2 linked regions of the Nothobranchius furzeri genome follow. The protein of the gene in region 1 purifies or fractionates together with the protein of each later gene. This does not show direct contact. Links are inferred from orthologs where the notes say so. Each region holds a gene or a part of one and is shown in the gene's direction. Other genes may lie near its edges.

Region 1 (5,781 bases):
GGAGAACATCCCAGCCTCTCTGGCAGTGCATTTACTGGATCCTTCCTGGTGCTTCCTGGCCAAGACCAGATGGAGGGATCGCTAGAACTGCTGGACAGTCCCTCTGTGGTGCTAGACTAATGTAGGCGACTGTTCCTTCTGCCATGCGTCCAGCGCCTTCTACAGCCTCGAGCGCTGTGGCTCATTTCTGAAATGACAACAGGAAGTGTTGGCATTACTGAGACATCAGTGCCATACTCACAACCTTAATTTGACTTGTCTGGATAATAAGTGTGTCATTTGTTGGTGATTGTAAAGGTTGGTGTGTTGTACGTTTGAATAATGCCTCTACAGCACTAAGGTGTAGGCCAGCCGGCTGGCTGAGGGTTGTAGGTGTGGCCTTGCCTCCTACTGAGGTCACTTTGGAGACTATTAATAAAACAGACTGTACTTTAGATTGGACTATGCAGAATATGAGATGCTTGTGGGCTTAACTTGCTTGATAAGCCTTAGAAAAATAGGGACGCTGTTCTGGATTATAGCACGGCGATTCGTTCATATCGGTGTCAATACTGTTCTCTCAGGTAAACAACTATAATCTGTGTCCATGCTAGTACCGAGTCAGGAGCTGAGTGCAGTCTTAACCCAGCGGGTTCATTTACAACACCAGTGGGTCTCCATTCAGGGAACCCTAAGTTGGGGGTCCAAGCCTGACCAATCAGGGCTTGTTATCGTCTCAACAGGCCCACCGGTAGTCATCGTCATCCTATGACCTACATTCTGCCGTGTTACATCACCACTGTGCTACTGCAGTGTGTCTCGCTGTACCAGACAGACATCTCAGACTCAACTTTACCACGATCAAATGGTGCTCCAGCAACAAAACACACCGTGACCAAGGTGGCCAGTTCTACAGAACACACGAACCAAGGCAGGCCATTTCAGGAACCTCAGTCAGGAACGGGCTCAGCTCTAAGCCCAGTCTTAATTACTAACTTTTCACTTTCTTTTGGTTTTATATCGGCGTCTAAAGCCAACATGTCTAGCCTCTAGCCATCCGCGGTCCTTAACGTAAAGAGGCGCAACGACAGGGCTCAGTATTTAGCATACAAGTGTGGGACTGTTAAACAAGGCAGCCTGGAGAACGGGCGAGCAATCGAGGGAGGGGGAGAGGGGGACCGAGAGATCGTTTGGAAGAGGAGAGAGGAAGTGGTGGCACGGGAGAGGGCGGAGGCGTTGGAGAAGCAGAGGCTGGCAGAGTACATCGTGTGGAGGAAGAGAGAGGACTTCCAGGATAAGAGAGGAGAAAGAGAGAAGGGAGGGAAGAGCTCAGAGAAGGGAAGGGAGTCTTCACCAGAAGTGATCTGGAAGAGGAGAGAAGAAGGAGACGTTGGGAGGGAGAGAGCAAGGGCCATTCAGAGAGGACATGAAAGCATCTGGACGAAGGGGGAGAGGGAGTAGAAAGGGGAGCCAGATTTAAGAATAGTCGTGAAAAGTTGAAGCGACTGCACGACTGCAGAGTTTGAGAGCCTCCTCTCTCTTCTTCCGTGGCTCTGCAGGTGTTCGCTGTATTATCGACCAGCCGAGGTTGTGTTTTATGTGTTGCTGCTGTGTTAGCGTGTGCAGCCCCTTCTGCAATCCCCTTGTTGGCTGCTAATAGGAATTTTACAGGCCTATGTCAAGCGTGATAGAGCTGCCAAAGGGGAGCTGCTACACACACGCACACACACTCGGTTTACACTGCCATGTAGACGCGTCACAAACTGATGTACACACCTTTTTGTGCAGTAACACACACACACACACACACACACACACACACACACACGCACAAGGAGCATTCAGAGACAATCACTTGTGTTGGTTCGTCGTGGTGCTGGCGACAGCTGAATAGTCGTCCGGCACTCGGAGACGATTAAGTTGGGACGAGAAATCGTTTAGCATCGTGGCTGAAGACCATCGCTCTACGGAGAGCTGAGAACGTGTTTTCGTCCATTCAGGGGAACTCGGCGAACAAAAGCAAAAAACACCAAAAGAAACTGATGACAACATGAGCTGTTCTGGTGCTCTACAACACTTTTTTCATCTGCTCCCCACCGCTGCTGAGGAGGCCCCACCTTTCCGCAGCACCTCCTCTCCTCCTGCTCTCAGTGTGGATAAAGCCAGTTGTGAAGCGGTTTGGTGCGGGCTGCCTGAGCGGCGGACAGATGGACGCAGCTCCTACACAGACAGATACTTGAGTGTCCTTCCAGAGAAAAACTTTGAGTCGTGAGACAAAAAGACTTGGCTTGAAGCTCTGCAGCCTAAGAGGACCTATAAATAATACATGATGGAGCTCATGCAGAAAACCAAGTACACCCACATTCGGAGTGAGTCGCTGAGCTCAACAGATGAGACCAACTCCATTCCGTCGCCGTTCCCTCCATCCAGCCCCGCCACCCCTCTGACTCCCTCCCCTGGTTTGCCTTCTTCCTTCTCCTCCTCGTCTCTCACTGCCATTTTGCCCCCCACCTCCCCGCGCCCAGCTGAGAACAGCCCCACCACCCTCTGCTCCTTCTTCCCCAGTATGAGATCCCTTCGTCTCGGGGTCACTGGCACTCTTCTCCCAGTGCCCAGGTTCTCAAACAGGTCTCAGCAGTCCCAGGCACCTGTTGAGTCATCTGGAGATGATAGGAGCAACTCTAGCTCCTCCCCTACTCTTCATCAACCCATTCCCACACTAACTGCTCCCTCTCCCCCTCGCCGACCTCCTCTGCAGGACATGAACCGGCTCGGAGGAGCGTCCAGGAGGGCACGGGTGGAAGGAGGGCAGCTGGGAGGAGACGAGTGGACGCGCCATGGCTCCTTTGTCAACAAGCCCACCCGTGGCTGGCTGCATTCTGACAACGTGATCAGCACCACGGGAGTTTCCTATACTGTTCGGGTGAGTGAGTGGCACACTTCAACTGTCCAGCCTGTATTTTTATTATTATTTTTTATTTATTTATTTATCTCAAACCATCGAAAACATGAAATTGCATATGCACTCCCCCATATTCCTGGTGCATACAAAAAAAAATTTTTTTTTTTTTAAATGAGGAATACGATAAACATATGCTGTTGAATGAAACAATACAAAACATACAATAACATAAAACCATTTGAGAGGGAACTGGAAGAAGCAAAAGCTTATCTAGTCCAGCCCCAATTCAGTTAATAAATCACATTTGCTCACATTAACAAATTTGAAAGAAAAAAAAAATTCTTTATGCAGGTCGTTCTATCTTCACCTTGCTAGTTGCTACATAAAAAGACAGTTACAAAACAATTGTTCACATGAATCTACAGAAAAAAGAAAACAAAACCAATAAACAACAAAAACAAAATATTCCATTTGAAGCCAATTACCATTTTTATCACTTGCTATTTACGTATGAGTCAATTATGAGTTGTTTATACAACATTTTAAATGATCTAATGTTTTTACATAATTTTAAAGTCACATCAAGTTTGTTCCACAGTTTGATACCACATACAGATACACACATACTTTTCATAGTTGTTCGGTATAATGGAAAAATGAAGTTTTTAACGCCTCTCAATTCATAACCCTCTTCATGAGTTTTAAACAACCTTTGCAAATTACACGGCAGTACACCCATCATGGCCCTATACGGTACAAGGACAGTTTTAAATTGAATTAAGTCAAAAAATTTGAGTAATCTTAAATTGTAGAATAATGGAGTTGTATGATCTCTATATCCAGAATTTATAATTATCCTTACCACTCTTTTTTGGAGAACACAAATCTTTAATAAATTAGATTTATAAGTATTGCCCCATACTTCGACACAATATGATAAGTATGGTAGAATCATAGTACAATAAAGTGTGTGTAGTGCTTTCTGTGGTAGAGAATATCTTGTTTTATTTATTATTCCAATGCTTCTGGCTAATTTAGAACACACATATTGTATGTATGGCTTCCAACAGAGCTTATGATCAATCAATATCCCCAAAAACTTAATTTCATACACTCTTTCAATGGCTATTTCATTAACAGTCAAATAGATTTCTTTACTACTTCTTTTATTTCCAAATAACATCAACTTTGTTTTGCTGACATTTAACGACAGTTTGTTTTTATCAAACCAATTCTTAAGCTCACTCAATTCATTCTGGACCTTTAGTATAAGTTGCTGTATATCTTCTGCTGAACACAAAATATTTGTATCATCAGCAAACATAATAAATTTAAATAATTTTGAAGTTGTGTAAATATCATTTATATATAACAGAAATAACTTTGGGCCAAGTACCGACCCTTGCGGAACTCCACAGTGAACTTCGAGACAGCTAGACTTGTGATAGCCCAACTGCACATACTGAGCTCTGTTACTCAAATAACTTTTTAGCCAATTGAGAGCTGTCTCCCTTATACCACACTTCTCCATTTTTGATAAAAGTATTTTGTGATCGACTGTATCAAAGGCTTTCTTCAAATCAATAAAAATTCCCAGTAGAGCCCTGCACGGGCCTAAAATCTGAGCCCGTGTCCGGCCCGGCCCGAGGGGGTGGAGCCCCAGCCCGACCCGGCCCAAAAAGGTTTTCAGGATTCTCTGGCCCGGCCCGAGCCCAAGCCCGACTTTTTTTTAACCAACTAAATGAAAACAAAGTGCGTCAATCCTGACCAATGTGTTAAAAGACGTGCAGGATCCGAGCGTCGCAGAAGCGCATGCGGGAAGCTTACTTCCACTGAAGCGAGTGTTTTCCAAACCCTGTCTCTCAGAGAGACTTGTCACTTAGAAAATGTTCCCTGATTATGAAACTTTGGCTGAATAGCGCTTGTTCCTGTCTCCAATGTGCGACACATCCAGGAGCCGTCTGAGGAGAATCCCAGAATCTCACATCCTCTTCAGCTCATGAGCGCATATGATTACGCACAAGCGTGACCCAACACGGTCTCACAGTAAGACTGGGTTGGACCTGTTCAGGTTTACGCAGACAATCTTCACATAGAATTGACTTACAGATATAAAATTAATGCAGTAAAATATAAAGCATTTTATTTAAATATCCATTCATTATTTTACAAGCACAGAGAGCCGCATCAGATGGATGGAAGAGCTGCGGGTTGCCGATCCCTGCTCTAGTTCAAGATATCATTAAAATTCCAAAAGTGCTGAAAAGATTAAAAATGGGGCTTTTCGTGCACATACAATACATTATGGTAGCCACCGGGATTCCCTGTCTTGAGCGCAACAAACCACAACACAGATTCAGAGACGTGCTGAGTTTGTCATCCAAAATGCTCCGTTTTATAACTTTTGAATGGCTGATCAGATTCAAATAATTCCAACGGTTCCTAAAAGTACATCAAAGCAGCTTTCCAACGATCTATAGCATGAAGCAATCAGAGTTAGATAAAATATCGCTAAGAGGGGAAATCCTGCTGTACAGCCTGATTGAAACGGAGCGCAGCGCTGCGGTGAAAGCGGATAACCTATAAAATGTCATGTTGAGGACGCAAACTCAATACATCTCTTTTATTGTGAGGTAATAATTTCTCCGAGTTTTGCGGTTGCGGGCAGGAGTAGACATGCACGCTGCAGGTGAGGGCGGGAGTGTAACACACACGTTGCGGTTGCAGGCTGTAATGGTCAGAAATTCAGTGGGAGCGGGGTGAAGAAAACAGTCCCGCACAGGGCTCTACTGCTGCGTTTAAGTGTTTTAATTTTTTTAATGATTTTGATTAAAAATAAAAGGCGCCCGGCCCGGCCCGTGTCCGAGGTAATTACACAGTCGTTGGCCCGAAGCCCGGCC
Region 2 (4,480 bases), on another chromosome or scaffold:
AATTAATTTGTTCACCTTTGCTCTTTTAAATGTCTGAGTTCATTAGAGCAGGGGTTCCCAAATTGGGGGTCTGGGCCCCCAAGGTGTCCCAATAAGATTACTGGGCATTTTCTTAGCTGAGGTTGGCAAGATTTTATTTGTAAAAAAAAAAAAATTACATTTAGAAAATCATGGTAACACACCCTACAGTATAATCAGAACTCCATATAAAAGTTTGTAAATGATCACATTAATGTGTAATGCATGTTGGGGTTGGGGTCCTGGCTTGTCTTGGACATGGGCTATGGGGTCCTCAAAGGAAAGACTTGAACTCCTGCATTAAAAATTTTATTATGAAAGGTTAAAACATGTAATGAAACCCATGCTGGATACTTATTCTGAAATGTGGTTTAAAAACGGAGCTGAGTCATCACAACCAGTGCTGAGCAGCAATAGATGGAAAAATGTAGCCACTCACTTTTTTTTAATTTCATTCATTTTACAAAAAGGCATTGCTGTGTTAGGGCAAATGTAAGGTCTGCACTGCTCTTGTGCAACGTGTTATGGATATGATCTAAGTAGAATTTCCACCTTGCTTTCCCAGAATAAACATCTGCTCGTGTGTGTGCTTTCACCACTGTGTGTTGTACAAAATTCCACTGAACCCAAAAAAGAAAAGAAAATTAAAACACCCGCTCATTTTATTTTCATTGCATTATGCTGGAAAAAGCATAGTTGTGTGAATCCATGAATTTCATAGCTTATTGATGTTGCTTCAGTAGTTTTCGTAGGTATTCGTCCCCCTGGCTGCAGCAGCAGTGTAACACAAACCAGATGTTTTAGGTTTGCTCCTTGACCGCTGCATTAAATTCCTCATGCCTCTGTAATTGTGTGTAAATTAACTAGCATGTTTTTATCAGTCTGAAGCTGTTTGCCCTTTCCCTCCTGTACCTAATTGTGAAAATAGCACCCTAATAATAAACACCACGTTACTCACTCTGTCTACATAATGCACAAAAATGTCAATTGTACATTTTTGTCTCTCCTTTCTGTTTACCTCATCCCTTTTCTCCTATCTCTATCACCTCTCCCATCTGTTTCATCTTGGCCCATGTAGGAATAGGTAAGAGCTGCTGCAGCGTTTAAAGCATGACCCCCTCTCCCCCTTTCTCATGGCCTCAGATCAGTCACCCCATGAACCTTAAACCGCATGCCTTGGTCAAATACCCAGCAGTTCCTGTAAGCATGAGTCCTTACAGCAGTAAATAAATGGCTTTGTACTGAAATGCAGCAGATTAACTCAGATCTAAGAATTTATTTTCAGTTAATGTCAGCAGGAAATATTGTTGCTAAATCAGCTGTTCTGGTATCCCAGCATGGAGTCTGAGCATGGGATCTGATAATTCCATTTTCTCTCGGAAATCTTTGGTATAGTTTGAGGTTTTACTTGTAAAGGTGGCCTTTTGAAAACGTTTTCATACACAGGAGGTAATCAGGTCATCGATCAACAGTTTTAATCTGTGGTGCATTTGTTGGTTTATCTCAGACCCTCGTCAGAGCCATCCTTGCACTGAGCCCCAATTTTTGCTACAAAATAGTTTTTTCCAAATCTAAATAAAGATGACATTTGGAGAGTTTGTGATTAAAGTACATGATATAAACATGTTTTCTTTCCTATGACTCCTCCAAATCTAGGGAATGATAAGTTTTTATTTTCTCTCTCTGTGAAGACTATCACAGTTTACACCAAACACTCTAAATGCACCAGCCCAGAACGTCCCGCTTTTGCTGCTTGGATTTTGATATTTGCCTCCTTGAGAAATAAAAACAAGGGCATGTTAGTGAGGAGCGGGGGAGTTATTTCCTTTTTAATGTTAAACTTTATATTAGCCCCGCTCTGCAGCCTTTTTTTATTTCAGAGATCGTAAAATAATCCGCTCTAATGTTGACAAGCATATGATTGGCTTTAAAGTCCAACCTAAATGTTTCTTTCTGTCTCACCCCTGCTCGTCGTTGCAGGCGGAATGCCGTGGACGCGTTCCGCGTGAACGTGATTCACGCCCGGCAGCAGGTCCGGTCGCCGGTGACCAACATCGCCCGCACCAGCTTCTTCCATGTCAAGCGCTCAAACATATGGTTGGCAGCTGTGACCAAGCAGAATGTCAACGCTGCCATGGTGTTTGAGTTCCTTTACAAGATGTGTGACGTCATGACTGCCTACTTTGGCAAAATCAGCGAGGAGAACATCAAGAACAACTTTGTGCTCATCTACGAGCTGCTGGATGGTAGGAGACGATCCTGGAGTCTATTAGTCATATAATAAACATTTTGTAGGACTGCTGGACTTACACATGTCTGGGTGTAGAAAAAAAGCCTAATGTTCTGTTAGTCAGTCAGCACCGGCTACTCCGTGTACTTCATGTTCTAGTTTTCTCTACACTAGTCTTTTATCGCTAACCGCTATCTACTGGTGTTTGTTTATTCAGAGATCCTGGACTTTGGCTACCCCCAGAACTCAGAGACCGGAGCCCTGAAGACCTTCATCACCCAGCAAGGCATTAAGGGACAAGTAAGTACAGTGTTTGCCCCCGACTGATGTAGAGCTTTCAGTTTGATGTTTTTGTAGAAGATAACCTAGAAAAGTGGTGTTCAGATGAACTAAATTCACTCTAACCTGAAGCGATGAATAGTTTAAAGACAATCTGGTGGTGGAAATGTTTATTTTTGTATCTGATTCTAGTAAACTTTACATGTGGTTAATTTGTATGAATATTAAATGTGTGTTTGTTTGTGTGTGTGTGTGTGTGTGTGTGTGTCATTGTTTCCCTCGTCTGCGGTTTTTGGACCATTCAGCACCAGGTAATGTTGAAAGTTTTGTAAAAAGTCGTGTTTTCATGTGTTTCCACTCTCTGTCATCCTCTGATCATCATCATCCTTGTGTGGAAGTTTTGCTCTTTGTTCCTGATCCAGTTTCTGCTCCTGTTTCTCAGACAAAAGAGGAGCAGTCTCAGATCACCAGCCAGGTGACGGGCCAGATCGGCTGGCGTCGTGAGGGCATCAAGTATCGCCGCAATGAGCTCTTCCTGGATGTACTGGAAAGTGTTAATCTGCTCATGTCACCTCAAGGTCTGTTTATGTCCTCTAAAGACGTCCCTGACTGCTAACATAAAAAGATCCGAGGAAATGTTGACATTCAGAGACGTCTAAATGACTTGCTATCAAGTTTTGCCATGAAGGTCGACTAAAACTAGTTGAAGACTTTTTGATCGTGTTTACTTCTGCAGCTTTAAACAGAGATGGTACTGTAGAATAATTTTAGTATTTCCACAGTTTTAGACCTGAATTAAAAAGTCCTATTGTGCAGAAACGCTGTCTAAATATGGTGGAACCTGTCCCAGCGGTGTCCAGATGTTGATCCTCTCACTCCTTCCATCCAGGCCAGGTCCTGAGCGCCCACGTGTCGGGCCGTGTTGTGATGAAGAGCTACCTGAGCGGAATGCCGGAGTGCAAATTCGGCATGAACGACAAGATCGTCATCGACAAGCAGGGCAAGGGAGGAGCGTCCGACGATGCAGGGAAAAGGTGAGTGATGCGTGAGTGAGGAGGCAGGCGCTTTGGTCAAACGTGCTTTCATAAGGAGGGACATAAATTATGACTTTGCTTTTCTTGTCTAAATAGTTCTGTCCTTGAGCTCCGACTAAGAAATTCTTTTGTCCTTTTGTTTGCTCTCCTTTTGGATGGCTCTCTGTCTTTTATCCTTTCTTTACTTTGTGCTGTACCACAGTGATTTAGGGGGAGGAAGGTACGATAGCAACAAGGTTCCTCTCCCTCCACCGCTTCATTCTCCTCCTGTGTTCTGCCCAGTAACTGTTTCATCATCCCTAACCGTCCTAGTTCACTCTTTACCCATCATCATTTACTGTAGTTTTGTAGTAATAATTTAATCCAGGTTCAAATGTTGTCTTCTAGCAGCCATGTCTTTGTACTTAAGTATACTGGTGGATATCCAGAGAGTAGATTTTATCTGTAGATTGGAAAAGGATAGTTAAAATCCAGACTAGTAACAAGTTAGTTGGTGTGTCTGATGCATCTTCTGTCCTCTTCAGTGGGAAGCAGTCCATAGCCATTGATGACTGCACTTTCCACCAGTGTGTGCGTCTCAGTAAGTTTGATTCTGAGCGCAGCATCAGCTTCATCCCTCCTGATGGAGAGTATGAGCTCATGAGGTCAGTAATGGTAGTAGATTATTAGAGCCTAAAGCATCCATGAATGTCTGCTCTGATAGATCCTGCTGGGTTTTTATTTATTTTTTTATTTTTCCACTCATTCAAAATTTTGGTGGATTGATAATTCCCCCCCCCCCCCCCATTTATTTTTATTAATTTACTTTTTAAATGTATGTATTTTTCAGATATCGCACCACTAAGGACATCATCCTGCCGTTCCGAGTTATTCCTCTGGTCAGGGAGGTGGGTCGCACCAAACTGGAGGTTAAAGTGGT

The links. The genes of interacting proteins can lie anywhere in the genome.
Region 2: the proteins of shc1 (region 1) and AP-2 complex subunit mu-A purify together in Homo sapiens (affinity purification with mass spectrometry; 3 studies listed by BioGRID and IntAct, with this or other methods). This does not show direct contact. The link is inferred for Nothobranchius furzeri from reciprocal best matches to the Homo sapiens genes SHC1 and AP2M1.

What each region holds. Positions count from the first base shown.
Region 1 is NC_091745.1:78,656,547-78,662,327, forward strand, and holds the start of shc1 (SHC-transforming protein 1), read left to right. Parts: upstream 1-2,087; 5' UTR 2,088-2,305; coding exon 2,306-2,902; intron 2,903-5,781. UniProt on the Homo sapiens protein: Signaling adapter that couples activated growth factor receptors to signaling pathways. Participates in a signaling cascade initiated by activated KIT and KITLG/SCF.
Region 2 is NC_091751.1:56,898,999-56,903,478, forward strand, and holds part of AP-2 complex subunit mu-A, read left to right. Parts: intron 1-1,998; coding exon 1,999-2,264; intron 2,265-2,465; coding exon 2,466-2,548; intron 2,549-2,969; coding exon 2,970-3,105; intron 3,106-3,416; coding exon 3,417-3,561; intron 3,562-4,085; coding exon 4,086-4,205; intron 4,206-4,390; coding exon 4,391-4,480.